3 linked regions of the Drosophila melanogaster genome follow. The protein of the gene in region 3 purifies or fractionates together with the protein of the main gene of each other region. This does not show direct contact. Each region holds a gene or a part of one and is shown on either strand. Other genes may lie near its edges.

Evidence for each region. The genes of interacting proteins can lie anywhere in the genome.
Region 1: the proteins of gw (region 3) and PAN2 purify together in Drosophila melanogaster (affinity purification with western blotting, with the first as the bait; one study listed by BioGRID). This does not show direct contact.
Region 2: the proteins of gw (region 3) and nocte purify together in Drosophila melanogaster (affinity purification with mass spectrometry, with the first as the bait; one large-scale study listed by BioGRID). This does not show direct contact.

Annotation. Positions count from the first base shown.
Region 1 is NT_033778.4:8,926,371-8,933,852, forward strand, and holds PAN2 (Poly(A)-binding protein-dependent poly(A) ribonuclease 2), read left to right. Parts: upstream 1-1,798; 5' UTR 1,799-1,929; coding exon 1,930-1,984; intron 1,985-2,087; coding exon 2,088-2,278; intron 2,279-2,338; coding exon 2,339-2,508; intron 2,509-2,565; coding exon 2,566-3,827; intron 3,828-3,888; coding exon 3,889-4,010; intron 4,011-4,063; coding exon 4,064-4,163; intron 4,164-4,220; coding exon 4,221-4,280; intron 4,281-4,339; coding exon 4,340-4,635; intron 4,636-4,699; coding exon 4,700-4,896; intron 4,897-4,960; coding exon 4,961-5,323; intron 5,324-5,384; coding exon 5,385-5,583; intron 5,584-5,644; coding exon 5,645-5,856; intron 5,857-5,920; coding exon 5,921-6,142; intron 6,143-6,200; coding exon 6,201-6,310; intron 6,311-6,372; coding exon 6,373-6,539; 3' UTR 6,540-6,733; downstream 6,734-7,482. Other genes in the region: CG8237 (uncharacterized protein), read left to right, coding at 1-369; AIMP1 (aaRS-interacting multifunctional protein 1), read right to left, coding at 702-1,514, 1,571-1,729. UniProt on the Drosophila melanogaster protein: Catalytic subunit of the poly(A)-nuclease (PAN) deadenylation complex, one of two cytoplasmic mRNA deadenylases involved in general and miRNA-mediated mRNA turnover.
Region 2 is NC_004354.4:10,471,427-10,476,545, reverse strand, and holds the start of nocte (no circadian temperature entrainment), read left to right. Parts: upstream 1-1,870; 5' UTR 1,871-2,493; exon of another isoform or gene 2,494-2,608; intron 2,609-2,958; exon of another isoform or gene 2,959-3,377; intron 3,378-4,402; 5' UTR 4,403-4,576; coding exon 4,577-4,666; intron 4,667-4,762; coding exon 4,763-4,928; intron 4,929-5,007; coding exon 5,008-5,119. Other genes in the region: CG2889 (uncharacterized protein), read right to left, coding at 151-363, 421-865, 924-1,344, 1,406-1,528.
Region 3 is NC_004353.4:657,238-662,452, reverse strand, and holds the start of gw (gawky), read left to right. Parts: upstream 1-1,844; 5' UTR 1,845-2,024; intron 2,025-2,469; exon of another isoform or gene 2,470-2,893; intron 2,894-3,944; 5' UTR 3,945-4,115; coding exon 4,116-4,551; intron 4,552-4,768; coding exon 4,769-5,215. Other genes in the region: CG46466 (uncharacterized protein), read left to right, coding at 480-1,298. UniProt on the Drosophila melanogaster protein: Required for gene silencing mediated by micro-RNAs (miRNAs). Silences both polyadenylated and deadenylated mRNAs. Required for miRNA-mediated translational repression and mRNA decay. Not required for miRNA target recognition.

The DNA.
Region 1 (7,482 bases), on a different chromosome or scaffold from region 3:
GAAGCGCTGTGGACATACCTATACCAAGGGGCTACGCCGGGCAAGTCGCTGATGAAGATACGCATATACTATGTGGAAGCAGTGATGCCGCTTCAGGGGCCGCCCCTTCCACAGTTCGTCCTCCAGCCGCAGAGGGAGCCGATGAGGGCTCTGCTTTATCCGCCACAGACTCCCTCGCTGATGCGCTCCTTCGCCCGCGCGCTGATCAAGAACCTGGGGATGACCCTGCTCTTCCCCATTTGCGTGTTGATGGTCTTCTTCAAGAACAATCGCACCGCCTACGACGTCCTAACCAAAACGATTGTGGTGGAGAGCAATTCCATTGCCGTGTTCCGCACCCAAGGGCAAGCGCAGCGCAATAATCGCTGAGGACGGCACTTAAACCAGCCAAAGTGTGTAGGAATGGCGCACTCCTATGCACTTCCTATGCACATATAAATAGACTTGTTAATGATAAATTTAATGTCGTTATGTACTGCTGTCGTGTGAAATAAAATAAAATATCACATGAATACCTCAGAATCTGCACGATAATCAAACATAACCAGTAATCCCAATGATCAGTAGAGCTTCCGATATTCCTGTAGAGCTACTCTTCACTGGTACTAGAAACTGAATGATAATGAAGTTCTGATACTGAAATGGTGTGCAGGCGGTGATGTTTCGTTTATTGGCTCAAAGCTTTAGTTTCGTTTATTGGCTCACTTCACATTGACGTTCTTCAGGGTTTGGGCCACCACGTTGCCCTTGCCAGGAACATGGAGAGCGGCGCCCTTGTAGCAGGCAACCAGTTCGCCGTTGGTCTTCAGATCCGGGGCGCACGACTCAAAGATCTTCTTCTTGGGGTTGAGCTGGGCGTCTGGCTGGCGCGGATAGCCCTCGCAGTGAACCAGGTCGCCGGGAACAGCTCCGGCGGGCGGACTGAGCACTTCCACTTTTTCCGGTGTAGATGCGCACATGACCATAGCCTCCGAGGTGACGCCGCGCATTTTGGCCGGCTTCAGGTTACACATGACCACTACCAGACGGTTCTGCATCTCTTCCAGGGGCACGAACTTCACCAGACCGGACACCACGGTGCGTGGAGCCGCCTCGCCGCAGTCGATCTTCTCCAGATACAAGCTGTCGGCGTCGGGATGGCGACCCACCTCCACAATCTTGCCCACGCGTAAATCCAGGCGACCGACGTCGACGGGAGCCTCCGGAGCGGCGGCGGGCTTCTCGGCGGCCGGTTTCTTCTCCTTGGACTTCTTTTCCTTGGGCTCCTTGGCCGGCTTAGGAGCCGGGGCAGCGGGTGCAGCGGTAGCAGGTCCAGCCTCTGCCGGCATAACTACTGGGGCCGCACTGGTGCAGAAACCCCGGGCTCCAGGCACCGGAATCTGTTTCTTGCCATTTCGCAGCTCCAGCTGCACCAGCTGGGCCAAAGCCGCCTCAACTTCCTTGGCCAGTGCAGCGTTCTCCTTGATCAGCTCCTGCTTCTGGCGCTCCACAAGTTGCTGCTGGATGCCGGAAATCTGGGGGGCAGTAGGTTATCGAGTGTTCGCAGGCGCTGGCAGGCGGAAATACTTGCCTCGGCTTCAATGGAGTTGATCAGCGCCTCGGCGCGCTCGTTGTTGCTTGCAATCTGCTGCAGATCGGCCATTGTTCTTTTGTTTCTCGCGAATTTTGAGCAATTCTGGCCGTAATTTTTACATGCGGATCCCACAGTCGTGGCAGCTCTACGCAGCATTGCAGTGCTTCTTCTTGCCACGCACAGTGGCGTCGCGCAGCGTTGGACAGGTAGTTCGTTGGCGGAGAAGCGAGAGTATTTTTACATCAGCCCTGCCAGGGTCACTCTAATCGGTGCAACGCAAAAACGGCTGGCAGTTTTGAGCGAAATTTGTTAAAAAATAAACAATAAAAAGTCGCGTGGGCATCGGCGTGCGGCAGATGGATTACGTGTATTGCGGCACCGACCCCATCGGGGCCTCCGAAGACATACTAAGTGGGTCAAGGGGTCGCTTTGGGGCCAACGCTCACCCACACGCACACACACACGCAAGCCAGCTAAAGCTTTCTCCTTTGTTTTCTGTTTACTTTTTGAAAAGGTGTTTATGACGCGGGATCTGCGCCGGGAAACGGGCACTTTTCGCCCAGCTTCAATGGATTCAACATCGGCACCACCGATCCGGAATATGTGGAGCTTGTGCCCGTGCTTGCCGACGGCGGGGAGCACTTCGGCGTTTCCAGCGTGGCGTTCGACGACTACGAAGAGCTGCTGTGGATGGGCAACCAGGGCGTGAGTTCCTCGTCCAGCCTGCCAGGCTTACTAATCCTGAATCTTCGCTCCTTCCCGCAGGGCCACGTCACATCGTACTACACAAACTCCATGCAGAAGTACACATCCTTTCAGGTCCACGCCACCGACATTGTGCGCGACATCTCCACCCTGGACTCCGGAGTGCTGGCGCTCACGCAGACCTCGCTGCGTCATCAGATCCGCAGGGGTCTGCCCAAGTTTACCTTCAAGTAAGCCACCGCGCTGGCACAAAGATTCCCCGAAAGTGAGGTTTCAATTTCTTGCAGATCGAACAACATGAAGGAGATGGTGAGCATGCTGCAGCTATCACCGCATCGTCTGGTCATGGCCGGACTGCAGGACGAGCTTATCGACTTCGACCTGCGCACGCTCAAGGAAACCCGCATAGAGCATGTGGGTGCCGGCGGATGCACGGTGCTACGCAAGAATTCACGTTATCTGTTTGCCGGCGACCAGCTGGGAACGGTAACGTTGCGCGACCTGAACAGCCTGAGTGTTCAGCACACAATCAAGACGCACACCAACATCCTTTCGGACTTCAGTGTCCAGGGAAATCTGCTAATCTCTTGCGGCTACAGCGGAAGGCAAAATAACCTGGCCATCGACCGCTTCCTAATGGTCTACGATCTGCGCATGCTGCGCCTGATCGCGCCCATTCAAGTGATGATTGATCCGCAGATGTTGAAGTTCCTGCCATCGCTGACATCCCAACTGGCCGTCGTGTCCAGCTACGGCCAGGTTCAGCTGGTGGACACTGTGGAGCTCAGCGAGCCGCGAGTATCCATGTACCAGATCAACACCAACGGCAGCCAGTGCCTCAGCTTCGACATTAGCTCCTCTTCACAGGCCATGGCATTTGGGGACCAGTCGGGCCACATCAACATGATTGCCGCTGTACAAACGCCTCAGCCGCAGTTCAATCTCTACTCGCGAAGCACAGAGTTTGCGGACGTGGTGCCACAGCTGCCGATGGTCTCCATTACGGACACCAACTTTCCGCTATCGTCGGTCATGCTACCGCACTTGACGACGGGCACACAATGGTTCTCAGATTGGCCGGAGGAACTGCTGCGCTACCGCTACCACAGGCCCAAGACCATTGATCCCGAAGTGCTGAGCAACATGAAAATGCAGGGACCGATTGGATACTCGCCAAACCCACGCACCGCCCGTCGTAATCAAATTCCGTACGTGATTGAGCAGGGCGGCGTGTGCAGTCCGAACGGAAATGGAACTGCGGCGGCGACCAAGGCGGAGAACGGTGTGAAAATCATTCCACGGCGGTATCGCAAAGTCGAGCTGAAGTACACGAAGCTGGGCACCCAGGACTTTGACTTTGACCAGCATAATCAAACATGTTTCGCGGGGCTGGAGGCAACGCTACCGAACTCCTACTGCAATGCTATGCTACAGATTTTGTATTTCACCGACGCGCTTCGCGTGAAGCTGCTGGAGCATTCGTGCATCAAGGAGTTTTGCCTGTCCTGCGAACTAGGGTTCCTCTTCAACATGCTGGATAAAAGTACCGGTTAGTTTGCTTGTGTAACTTAACTATCCTTAGTTTAAGTATTTATGTGTGCTCCTTTCAGCTTCTTCACCTTGCCAGGCCAGCAATTTCCTGCGATCTTTCCGCACTGTGCCAGAGGCCTCGGCACTGGGATTGATTCTCACCGACCGCTCATCGAACGTCAATCTAATATCGCTGATACAGGCAAGTAATACCATGGTTTCCTAAGCAGATATTTAATTTATGCACACTCTCAGAACTGGAACCGATTCATTTTGCATCAAATGCATTACGAAATATTCGATTCTAGCAAGAACGCATCCACCTACAGCGGATCTGTGCAAACATCAACGAACGGTAACCACAGCCGAGTTTATCCTTTACAAATAAGTGAAACTTCGATTTATTTTGCAGCGGAAAACGCGGGCTCTTCAGAAACAAGTGGCTCCTCGGACCTTTACGATTCCATAAGTGGTGGGCAGGTGAATTAATGGTTTAACTAACACTCTAATCATATGTACGTATATGAACAGATGAGAACTCCAAGGAGGACGATCGGGAACGCAGTAAGATCAACGCAGAAACTGACATCAGTAAGATCTTTGGGACCAAGCAAATCTGTATAAACCGCTGCATCAAATGCCAAGAAGAGAAGATAAAGGAAAGCATTCTACTTGCCTGCAATTTGTCGTATCCCAACCACATCAAAGATAGTGATCAGTATTTCAACTTTGGCACCATTTTGAAGCGATCTCTCAGCTCCGAGAAGAGTATTCAGGCCTTCTGCGAGAGATGTAAGAAGTTTTCGCCAACCAATCAGAGCGTGAAGGTCGGGAGCTAACTTTATAGTGAACCAAGCAAGAAGTTACATATGTAATGCATCTGAATTTCAGGTGACTTCGCTTCCGCAAATTCTGTCCATTAACTGTGGCCTCAACAACGAAAAAGACATTACCTTCCTGAAGCGCCAGCTCAATCGCTGCAGCGAAAAGACGACTGTTGATGCGGCCGCTTCCTTGAGCACAAGCAAGCCGTGTCGATATGGAGCCAACTGTTCGCGAAGTGACTGCCATTTCATGCATCCGGATCGGTGAGTTACGACGAATCGAAACTGAATCAGTCGTCTTATGCATATTGTTGTACCTACTGTGCAGAAAATCTCCATCGCACACAAGCCAACCGAATGCTGTCAACAATTCTCCCAATGGACGCCAAAAGTCCTGGTTTCCCCTTACATTTACTATGGGCATCAATGACCAAGGTGAGGTGCAGGTGCAAACTCAATCAGATGCAAGCAGTGGCAAATCGGAACAGGAGGAGGAAACGGAAAAGCCACCAACAAAGGGCTTGGACAACAATCGGATGTACGCGCTGCATGCCGTGGTGTGCCAAGTCGATGATGGTACCCAAAAGAACTTGGTATCGTTGATAAATGTGCAGCGGCCATACCACACCATGAAACTGGCTGAATCTGCAGATGACCCTCAGAGTCAATGGTATATTTTTAATGATTTTAGGTAAGTTAGATCTCTATTGTGAATGGCCTTCGATTAATATTGCTCATATATCGCTCAACAGCATATCGCCCGTTTCGCCACAAGAATCGGTATGGTTCACATTGGATTGGAAAGTTCCTTGCATACTCTTCTACAGACACGTAGAGGATGACTCTGAGTCTGCTAGTACTACTAGCTCGACCGTCACGGAAAGTGAAGAAACCATTCCATCAGAGAGCAGCAGCGGCTCGCCAACAAATCTATCCAACCCTTTTCTAGAGGTTAATAGTTTAATATAGCATTGAGTCTGCTGAATGCTAATCTGAATCTTAATCCTACCAGGAAATTGTGAGTCCTATGCTAGGCAACTTAAGTGCAGACGCCACGCTGCAGCCCCTGCAGTCAGATGAAATGCCGCAGTCGGGTGATCTGGTCGCAATGGATGCCGAGTTCGTTACCCTAAATCCAGAGGAAAATGAGATTCGCCCGGATGGCAAAACGGCGACCATTAAGCCATGCCACATGAGTGTGGCCCGGATTTCATGTATACGAGGGTAATTCATTAACTGAAACTTAAAAATATTCATCTCGATAAGCACGGGTATGAATTCTTTACAGACAAGGCCCGGCTGAAGGAGTTCCATTCATGGACGATTACATATCCACCCAGGAGAAGGTCGTGGACTACCTAACTCAGTTCTCGGGAATCAAGCCTGGCGACTTGGACGCTAACTTCAGCAAAAAGCGACTGACTGCCTTGAAGTACTCATACCAGAAATTAAAATACCTCGTTGACGTAGGAGTAATATTTGTCGGACATGGTCTGAAGAACGACTTTAGGTGGGATGCCCTGCTTTGTAAGGAACCAATAGACCACTAAACTTCCATGTGATTGCAGGGTCATAAACATCTATGTACCGTCGGAGCAGATAATAGATACGGTGCACCTGTTTCACATGCCACATCATCGCATGGTTTCCCTAAGATTTCTAGCCTGGCATTTCTTGGGTTTGTATAGGGGTTTTCTTCGATTTGGAATTGTATCTAATTGGGTTTTCCTAATGCCAAAGGTACTAAGATTCAGTCCGAGACGCACGACTCCATCGAAGATGCACGGACCACTCTGCAGCTCTACAAGCACTATTTGAAGCTGCAGGAGGAGAAGAAGTTTGCCAACGCTCTCAAGAATCTTTACGAACGCGGAAAGCAGCTGCAGTGGAAGGTTCCAGAGGACTGATTCGTCGCCAAACCCGATGCCAATTCGACGAAACTCATAATCAACGTTATCGTCAGTACAAACGCTACACCGATCTGAAAAAATCCCGGCTTCTCCCAATTTTATTATGTTTTAATGCGTTGCTATTTGCTACGAAGCTCCTGGTATTTCATGTTGTATTTGTCTATCTTTATAACAAAATCAAAACAAAGCATAAAAGTTGTATTTCTTATCAGTGATGCTTTATTGATCGTTGATGCGAATCTAAGTTGCTTATCAAATCCACAATCGGGCTAATAGGCAAAAGCGGGCAACAGATGTGTTCAGGGATCGTGCACGTCAATCGATTCAATTCCTTTGAAATTCTCATTCGCCCTCCCCTATCACCAGCGGCGTTTGTGAATTTTTGAGATGCTGTCGCCAATTTGATGAATAACCTGATGTTGGACTACTGCGCACCTACTTATAAATACCACGACGAGCAAGTCAAGCCAGTTAGTTGTTAGAGCTCACCATTCACTCAGGGAACATAGATGACAATGCATTTGCTTGGACTTCTCGTGCCGATCGCTTGCGCTGTTTTGTGCGTTGGTGAAAAATCCCTTTACCATGGTCTCGCCCAAACGGAGACTAATCGACGATTCCATTGCTCCCTCAGCTGCCGATCTCCAGCGGACATACGACGGACATGATGGGCCTCACGTTTTCGGAACACCCGGCAATCAAGTCTACATTCGGGGGCAGAACGATGGCGTATACAAGGTGCCAGGAGTAGGTGGTCAGTTCCATCACGCATCGTCGCCAGCAGATCACGTCTATACGGATGAGCAGGGGATCACGTATGTGCACAAAAAAGACGCTGGAGGACCAGGTGGCTAAGAATCATGGTTCGAGGCAGTGCATAAATCTTATTATGGATACTATTTTAAGGAACACATACGCTTAGAGGACCAGGTCTAGCTGC
Region 2 (5,119 bases), on a different chromosome or scaffold from region 3:
ATTATTTCTTTCTTGCTATTCTCGAAACAGTGTGAGTGCGGAATAAGTAGACAGCTATCCCTCTCATTTGCGTGTGGAATGAATAAAGATTACTAATTCAAATATGGGGCAAGAATTCCAATTCGATCAGAGACCCTGCTCTATTCTCACCTTTTGCAGCAGATCTCGCAGGTGTGCTCCAGTTGATCGGTGTCGTGCTTGGCCAGATGATTGGCCATACGGCGCTCGCTGCTGAAGGTGCGTTCGCACTTGGGGCACGGGAACTTGAGCACCTTGCCGATTTGAGCCACCTTGTTGTGCACCGTCTCGATATGAGTGGCCAAGTAGTCCTGCGAGTTGAGCGACTTCTTGCAAATGGTGCAGCTATGGGATTTTAAAGTCTATGTAGCAACAGACAGAACCCTCGGGCTTCAAACTCACGTAAATAGCTTGGGGTTGATATGTTTGCGGATGTGGTCCATCAGCTTGGAAGCGCGTGTAAAGACTTTGCCGCAGCACTTGATGTAGTACTCGCGCTGGTGCACCTCCAGGAAGTGGGTCTTCAATTCGGATAGGTAGGGAGCACTAAATTCGCACAGGTCGCAGCTTGCACTCATGTAGCTAGCAATGGCCTTCTCGTAGCTCTTGGCCAGCTGAGCACGGGAGCAGCCCTTGGGCTTGCGCTCGAGAACGGCCTGTAGCTCGGACTCCTGCGACTCGGTGGTTGTTCGCTGGTCAGGTGCCTTCCTGCGCCGACGCTTGCCACCATCGTCGAGCAGATCTGCAAGCTCCTGCTGCAGCGATATCGGACCCTGATCCTTGGAGGAACGTGCCGAGGTTTTGCGCTTGGGCTTCATTTTCGATTTCAGACGGACCAGGGGTTCATCTGCAATGGAACAGGAACTTAGTTACGGCTAATCCTTGGGAAACATTAAGATAATAACCATCTGAGGAGTCAGATTCAGATTCCGGCTGCCCCTCGGTCACCTCCGGTTCGCTATCACTAGCTTGCAGGCAGGGCTTCTCGTCCTCCTCCTCCTCGCAGGGCAGCTGCTCCTTGATCGGTTCCCTGACTTCCACACTGTCCACATTCACGTCCAGCACGCTTCCCAGCAGACTAAGGTTGTGCAGGTCCAACGGTTTCTCGTCCATGTCGCCAGCCGCCAGCGGCAGTTCGTCGATGTTGACGTCCACGTCCACACCGCCCGTCCACTTCATGGCCGCACAGTCGACGTCCACGGTAAGGAACTCCTTCTTGAGTGAGCACTGCTTCTGCTCCACCAGCTGCCAGAAGCCATTGAAGTCCTCCAGATGCTCACAGCACTCGGTACAGACGCTGGTCGAGATGCCGTCGTCTGGTAGGATCTGCATGGGATGGCTTATTGGAATTGTTTTGATACCATTGGTATTTGCCAGATACACTCACCTCCAGCTGCAGAAACTTCGCAATCATCTTGACCAGGCGCGTCTCCGCAAGCGTATCGTCCGTCTCAAAGAGGAAGACAGCGCTTCCGGGACTAAGACATCGCAGGCAAAGGCGACAAATCATTTCGCGCGAACAGAACCACAACGCAAAGTCAAATAAATAAAAAATTTAAACAGTTTTTCGTTGTAAACAACATAATTCACCTATCGTGAATCGATAACAGAATCCAATTGTGAATGGCAAAACTTCATCTCAGGAGTTTTTTGCGGGGTGGCCACCCTGATCGTTGAGTATTTCTCTTTAATTTCTCTTACAATTTATGGTCTACGTTTTTAATTGTCTGCAAAATACGCTGTAAACGATTATCCATTAATTAAAAATCGAAAATATGAAACTTAATATATCGCTGGATACACATCAAAACGATGGCATTCTGCGGACGGTCAGGCAGCACGCCAATCGACCCACACAACTCTGGCAACGCTTGCCGTAAAATGGCAAAAAAATAATACATACGATTTAAAACTAATGGACAATTACGTATTACGTGAAAAGAACGCAACGCAAATAATCAAAACAAATAAGAAACGCAACTCGTGTGCGTGTGTAGTGTGTGTGCAGAGCTAAAACCTAGCGAAGGAAAGGCAAAAACCCGTGGAAAAAGCGAATTCAAACGGGTTTACTCGAAGCCTCCTCACCCGATACCATTTTCCACCTACACTTGCAAAAAAGCGACAGCGCGCGAGAGGGACGGCGCGAGTGAGCGGAGAGTGGGAGAGCGCAGTGCAAGTGAGTGGGAGCGAGAGCGCTGACAAAGCCAGCGCAACATAGCGAAAATCGCAACCAAATCGAAATCGAAATTCAACCAAATCGAAGATTCTGGCGAACAAAGGCGACTAACAACAACAACTGCAGCAGCGGCACGTCTCGTCTTGGTTGCGCTCTCTTTTGTTTTCGTCCCGTGTTTTAACAAGCGGCGAAACGGGCGCTGAGTAAGCGCCAGAAAGAGTGCAAAAAAAAGGCGAAGGAAAGAAAGAAGCCAAGGAGCAACGAACTGTGTTTGCGGTGTGTGCTCTGCGTGCGAAAGGGTAAGCTCTATGGTCTCTCATGCTCTCGCTCTGGAAGTAGGCCGGAACCGAGATTTGTTTGCTAAATTATGTTTAATTGCACAGCGGGTTTGTAAATCTGTGATTTTGTTTGTAGAAAATACGCATTGTATCAAAGAAATATTTTTGTCGGTTCTGTCAAATTCGACGTGTGGGAGTGGGAGGGAAGTTCAGCTAGTCATGTTGTCCCGCTCTATATCGCAAACAGCGTTGCATTTGTCGTCGGCAGGTCATCGTGGTCCGTTTTCTCTTTTTGTCGGCATCGATGCATAGAGTCCGTGTTAATTTCCGTTTAATCGCTAAATAGCACGCTCTCTAATTGTTTAATAATTGCCAGGCGACTGCCACCCCCGGAATTAGTTTCACTCGGCGGTCTGGCTGGATCCCAACGGACCAGGTGGCAACGCCGCGCTCCACACCACTCACGCACGCAATACATTCGAAAAGTGAGAAGTGGTAGAGGAAGAACTCGAGGAAGAAGAATTAGCGGCAAACTTTATGTTGGACGGTGAAAAGCAGAATCAAAAGATATCAATTTCCGCGAAGTTAACAGTTAAATAACCAACATACAGGCGGCCAAGTGTGCCAGCAGACCGCGAAACATTCGAAGTAAACAAATTCAAGCGTTTTCCATTCAGTTTATCATCGCTGCCCAACAAACGAAACTCCCCGAGTGTATTGCTGTGTGCGTGCGTGCTGTTTAAACGGTATATTTTACTCGTCTCTCCTCTTTGTTTGCCTTTGCCAGCCACTGTGCCATGCAAAATTAATAAAAGGATACGGCTGTAAAACAAAAGGTGGTCAAAAAAAAAAATTGCACTCGTCGATTAAATAATAACTATCAAATCCTCTCGGTTTCTGCGAACGTAAGTGTGTGTGTGTGCGTGATGTGTGCGCCTGTGCCTGCGTGGTGTTAGTGTGCGTTGTGCTTGTGAATGGTTGTTATTACAAAAAGGAGACATAGAATTGTTGCCAAGCGTTTAGATTGTCTTGTACTCCCCCCACTTGCATCTGTCAAATTGGTTACATTTTAAATGCCGGCCTTTGTTGTTGTCGCTCTTGTTGCGAGGATTTTACTGGCCCCGTTTTTTCTATTGTTGCTGTAGTTGTCAGCCATTGTTCGGCCGCCCCTTCACGCCCCCTGCCGCAATTATTACAAGACGCCACCGCAAAAAATTCTTTCAATGCGTTGCCGCTTCTGCCGCTGCTGGCGCTGGTGTGTGTGTGTGGGTAAATCTATCTAGCTGTCCCGCTTCCGCTGTCACCCGCCCAAGGCAGCCTCTCAGTTGCGTGTGCTGCGAGGCACTGGCTGTCCTGCTCGCACCAAACATTGCCTGCATTCAGTGTCGGATCAAAGGGGGGAGCGAAACTGGGAAATAGTTGCCCCAAACGTTTTCGTAATAAACGCAATATCAACAAAATACCAAATGATTCTACAAACAGTTTCGAATGGTAGTAGTCGAATGGAATTACACTCTAGTTGTTACTTTAACGAAGCATTAAGAACTTGAACGTATTTCGCAACAGCATGTGTTGGAAAACTACCAAGAAACTTCTTTAGTTTCAGTGGAAATGAAATATCAAAAGCATTTCTACTAAAACTCGGTTTAGTTGAAACCCATACCTATTATTGTTTGAAGAGGTTATTTTCCAAATTATTTGCAATATCTTTCTAAGAAGAACCAATTTTCGCTACAGATCCACCTCTGTAAGCGTTAGTGGTGCGGATCGGTTGGGGGTGGCTAAATAGAGGAGTTCCCGGACACACAATAACCAGCGTGTTGAAAACAATTTGTCGGGAGCACCACCCACTTGCAACTGACTAGCCTCGCCTCGCTACGCCTGCACCTATACTCAATTAAATGCCTATCTACGCTTTTGTATTTTGCAGCCCACCAGAAAGACTGAAACAAGGAGCTTCGGCCCAAAAGCGATCCCAGCTCCTTAAACTCATTCTCGTCAAGAACCACAGCCACATCCTAGCCCATCCTCCAGCGCAGCGGGAAGACGAGGAGCGCGGCGGTGGCGAGAAGGAAGCTAACGCTAATGAGGATCTATTGGCAGCATGAGTACACTGGGGGGAAGTAGGGGAGAGCGAAATGCCAAGCCCAAATTCACAGCGTTAGATATAAATCGCATGTACAAGAATAGCCGCGTAAGTAGCGAGCCCCTAGACCTAGATCTAGATCTACATCTAGATCTTGATAGATCCAAACCTATCTGATCGCCAACTTGTTCTTATTGTTTGCAGGGCGAGTCAAGTGAACCATCTGCACAAAAGAATCAAGTGCCACGTAAACATGGAATGCAAATCTTGGGCAAAGTGCCGTCCGCTAGGCGACCACCAGCCAATTTGCCATCCCTGAAGGCCGAGACCCACACCAGCAGCAACAACAATCTCTTAGTCTCAGTCGAAGGTGGGTGTTCTACGATTTTATCTTATTGAAAGCGTGTGTACTAAGATGTACCTTTAACTGGGTGAATTTTCCATTTTAGGAGCCACATCTGGTGGGGCGGGCGCAGGCGGAGCAGCGGGATCTGGCGCGGCAGGAACCAACACTAGCCACAACAACACCACTGCCCACAGCGGAAGTTCAGGAACGAGCGG
Region 3 (5,215 bases):
GTAACGCCCATATCAATTTAAACACACATAAACCCTATGTAGTATATACATACATATGTATGTGTCTAGATTAGAAAGAAACACCCATCCGAGTTGATACTTCCGTCTGCCCCTATGAATGTTGTAATGTCGGGAAGCACTCCTCTGGCTACCAAAAATTAGTAATGTAAATAAAGGAGAGGTGGGCTAATTTGATTCTAAGGTTATATATTTCTTTTTTATTGCATTTGTTTTCGGTTTGGACATCATATAGTGTCCAAATCCCGAAGTTCATTAACTAGTCTCGGAAACCTTTTTGTTCACCTGTTATGTTCTTTTTTAATTTTTAATAACCCCCTTACTTTACGAGTGAAGAGTATAAAAGAATTATAAATACTTTTTCAAGAATTCAGGTTAATATAATTATTCGATTTTATGATAGAATCTAACGTTCCGCTAACCATTTAATACAGCAAACCATATTTATTTTCAGATCAAAAATGACAACACACGATGAGGCTCAGTCATACTTCTCACGTCTTAATTCAATTTCCGAAAAAATTACCTGCGATCTCAATAAAGTTAAATCTACATACAACCAAGACGCTTGGCTTAAATTGACTTTAAACGAACAGGAAAAAATATTGAATAACCAATTAATAGATCCTGTTATATTTTCTAAGTACTGTCATAAGACTAAAGAAAACTATGCGGCACAGGATCCGTACGAAAATACTGAAGTTAGTAAAAATGATTACCGTAAATTTTGTTTCAGAGACATTGTATATTTATATAACGGCCAAGATTTACACACATATAATTATCAAAACGTTGGTTTAAAAATATTACGCGATGAAAACACCGGAGATTTTCAAGATGAACATTCGTTTCCATTTTCTTATCGAACCAAATCACAAATTAACATAGTATTAAAAGAATTTGATGATATCTGTCTTGTTGAAACTCCATTAGGCGTAAAAAAGGCCATTCATTTAAAATTGAAGACAAAAGATTCAACCAATAAAAAAATACCAATTCTCCACCTTAATTCTAATGATAAAACCGGCGTTAACACAACGGAAAGAAAGATTTCCATTCATGAAAACTTCTCAAAAACCCAAACTGTTTATATTGATGAATGTATTGAATCTAATGAGAAAATGCAACTGCTCGTTAAATGTGGATCGAAAAACAGTGTGTTAAACGACTTGTCTGATTATGAAAACGAATTTAAAGATGCACGTCAAGACGAAAATACAAAACTGTTATCCCCTGAACTAAAAATGCCTAAGGGTTTCGATTTTCTTAGCAATTGGTAAAACCTATTTAAATCTCATAGATAGTCGAAGGAGAGCCGATATTTTAGAACATAATTTCATTTGATTTCAAGGCAAAACACCAAAACATACACATTAATATTAATCGGTCGTAAGTCCAAACTTTATACATTACATTATTAAGGATTCTTTTTTAACATAGACTTAATAAAATAAGTTATGAATTTAATGGATTGCCCAAACCTGTTTCAATTCTCACTTCAATAAGGCATTCAAGCTTTAAAATTTATTAATGCATATGTTATCTCACTGTATTGTTTTAATCCCTTAAATTTCATTTGAATTGTTAGAAATGGTCGAGAGTTATATGAGTTGGAACTTGTTTGAAACAGCTCTGTTTTGAATTAATTTAAATTATATCAGCTAATTTATTTTAATCAATTAATCCTTCTGTTGTGTACCCTCTATCTGACCTCTTCGATGTGAACGGGTCACAGCACTTATTTTAGGCAGTTGTGTAAACTGGGTATTACCTAAGATTGATTAATATCGATTAGTTTAAGAAAATATCGGACATCTACCTAGAAGAGTCTGTCGTGATCCAGGCGAAGTGCGAGTGAGAGCATCGTATAGTTACTTTTTATTTAAATTGCGTGTGTTAAAATGAATTAGCACGAGTAGTGAATGTTTTTGTGTGCGTAATCTTTCGAAAACAAGCGCTTTGTCATTAAAACGAAAAGATTGCCAACAGCCCACCACGGATAGAATGTACGGAGTAATGCAGCTAAATTGAAGTAGAATAATTTTAATGTATGGTTGAAGACGTACTCAGTACGATTAAAAGCGAAACTTTCTGACATAACCTAAGTGTGCATAACCTAAATGGTCGCAAAAACCCAAGCGTTTAGTTTCGGACATACGCATGTGTGTATCAGTGCAGAATAAATTCTGTTCGCTTGTGTATCGTGCATTGGAAAAGTCTATATGTACATATGTTCCAGTCAAGAGTTGCCACGCTTTAAATCTTTTACATAATGACAAAGCAATAGGGAATTTAAATGTGTCGCATTTGCTTTGAGGTTTTCCACACCAACAGTTAAAATTTAGTAATAGTGTAATTAAAAATAAAGTAAGCATTTTGCATATTTGCATTAGTCTATACTCCACATACCTTTCCATTCCGTCTTTAAATTTTGACTAGGTGGCAATATTGCAAGCAGGAATATCTGTATGGGTTTATTTAATACACTAGTAACTGCCGTCCCCATCGTCGAACGTGCGCAGAAATTTATATTCAATTACATCGAATTATAATTATTGTTGAGTCTAATCAGTTTTCGCATTCAAGATTGTTATTAATCCCAGTTTATTTTGTGAAATATGAAAAACTATAATTGATTGTCGAATGTGTGTATGTTTTACAACACATACACACTTTGTGAACTCGTCAAAGTGGCTTGACATGCATACACACAAAAATGCACATATATTTACATATATAGAGAAAATCAACTTCTCGTTCAGTAAAGGCAAAAATTGTTGCAAATATTCGGTGAACTATTAGCGTATACACAAGTGTTCAATTTTACTATAAACGCATATTCTGGCAATAGATATTAATTTCTAATTTCTGTTTGGTAGGTTTTAGTTAGATCTCCATTTTGTGACGTTCTCAGCTTTTCGCTTGTATTTCTACACATAGGGTACAAGACACGCGAATATACTAAGTATTGTACAATGACTTCTCTACATATGCACTAGAGTACTGAAAATGTATTCATACAAATGTATATACATGTATATATCTATCGCATTAGTCTTTTTGCCAATACTTGCATATATACAGGTTGTGTAAATACATTTTAAATTCTAAGTTTATTTGAGCATAATTGCAAGTGCGAAATTAGGAAAGGGAGACATAAAATAGGGTGCTTCCGTCAATGTCTGCCTGCCCAGAGTTGACAAATTCATTTTACTTGTGTACATATGCATATGTATATTTATATACCATTACAGAGTTGTGAATTTAATTGTTTTATTTTTTGACATGCATTCGTTTTTCACACAGGAATTTGTCGTTAATGTGGGTGGGGATTCTGCCGGTTGGGCAGCAGACCTGGTAGGTCAGCGATCGCGATGCATATTTCATTTTTAAAATTCTTTATGTACATACTAAGTATACATGTTTAACTCCTGTCAAATGACTCCCACTCTTATATACCCATATGTATGTCCTCAGACTTTTTGAATCGATTATAAAGCTTAAATTTTTATGATTTCTCCTTCAGAATTTTAACTGATGTTATGCAGTTAAAAATCTGTAAAGAAGATATTGATTAAGCCTACGAAAAGCTGATCAGAATTAAAAAATTTTTTAAGAACAACGAACAATAGAAAAACTAAAAACAAACGTGCACAACGTAGGGGTCACTAGAATCTGCATGCTTATTCTCAACTGTCTAGCTTTTATGTCGAAAACGCTTCCGCTATGTAACATACTTTAGAACAAATCTGGTATACCATATACCATTTTACTCTATTAATAATGTGTATAAAGCATAAACGTATCACGGTGATTAAGTTTATTTATCCTGTGTATATACAAGAAAATAAAAAAAGAACTTAGCAATTTGATTTAGAATGAATATTTTGTAATAAAAATAATAAATGTTTTCTATATTTCTACAGAACACGGAAAGAACAAGGATTCAGATTAAGTCATTCCTTTTCGATTAAATTAAATAACTTTTAAAAATTGCCATAAATGCTTATGATAATGAAGTTAAAGATCAAGTGGATGTTGGAATAGTAAGGAATGCTACTTTTGAAGCTGACAATCAGTTAGAACACTTGAGCACTATGCGTGAAGCCCTTTTTTCCCAAGATGGCTGGGGCTGTCAGCATGTTAACCAGGATACTAATTGGGAAGTTCCCAGTTCGCCAGAACCAGCCAATAAGGATGCACCCGGTCCACCAATGTGGAAGCCAAGCATTAACAATGGTACTGATCTTTGGGAGTCCAATTTGAGAAACGGAGGTCAGCCGGCCGCACAGCAAGTTCCAAAGCCGTCGTGGGGTCATACACCATCCTCTAACTTAGGTGGAACATGGGGTGAGGACGACGATGGCGCCGATAGTAGTAGTGTGTGGACTGGAGGAGCTGTTAGCAACGCGGGATCCGGAGCTGCAGTGGGAGTAAACCAAGCCGGAGTTAATGTCGGTCCAGGCGGTGTTGTTTCGTCTGGCGGACCTCAGTGGGGACAAGGTGTCGTTGGCGTCGGACTTGGATCAACTGGTAGGCCTAATATCTATTAGAATTAATGAAGTTAAGCGCAAACGATCAGATAAAGGCTCTAGCTTTTCCCTCAAAATGTGACTAACAATACATGATAAAAACATAAAGTGTAGTAATTGAAGTTGGAGCCTTATCTGGGGAATTACCTATTCTAAGTTCTACAGAAACTTTTATTTCATTAACCCGAAATACTTTTATATTTCTGCTGTTATTTAAGGAGGTAACGGGTCAAGCAATATAACTGGATCGTCTGGAGTCGCAACAGGTAGTAGCGGAAACTCCAGCAACGCTGGTAACGGTTGGGGAGACCCTCGTGAAATACGCCCTTTGGGAGTTGGTGGCTCCATGGATATTCGAAATGTTGAACATCGCGGCGGTAACGGTTCTGGAGCAACTTCGAGCGATCCACGAGACATTCGCATGATCGATCCGCGTGACCCTATTCGAGGAGATCCCCGTGGAATATCTGGTCGTCTTAATGGGACCTCTGAAATGTGGGGTCATCATCCACAAATGTCCCATAACCAGTTGCAAGGTATCAACAAAATGGTTGGTCAAAGTGTAGCAACTGCCAGCACCAGTGTCGGAACATCTGGCTCGGGCATCGGTCCTGGAGGTCCCGGTCCTAGTACAGTATCAGGCAATATCCCAACACAGTGGGGGC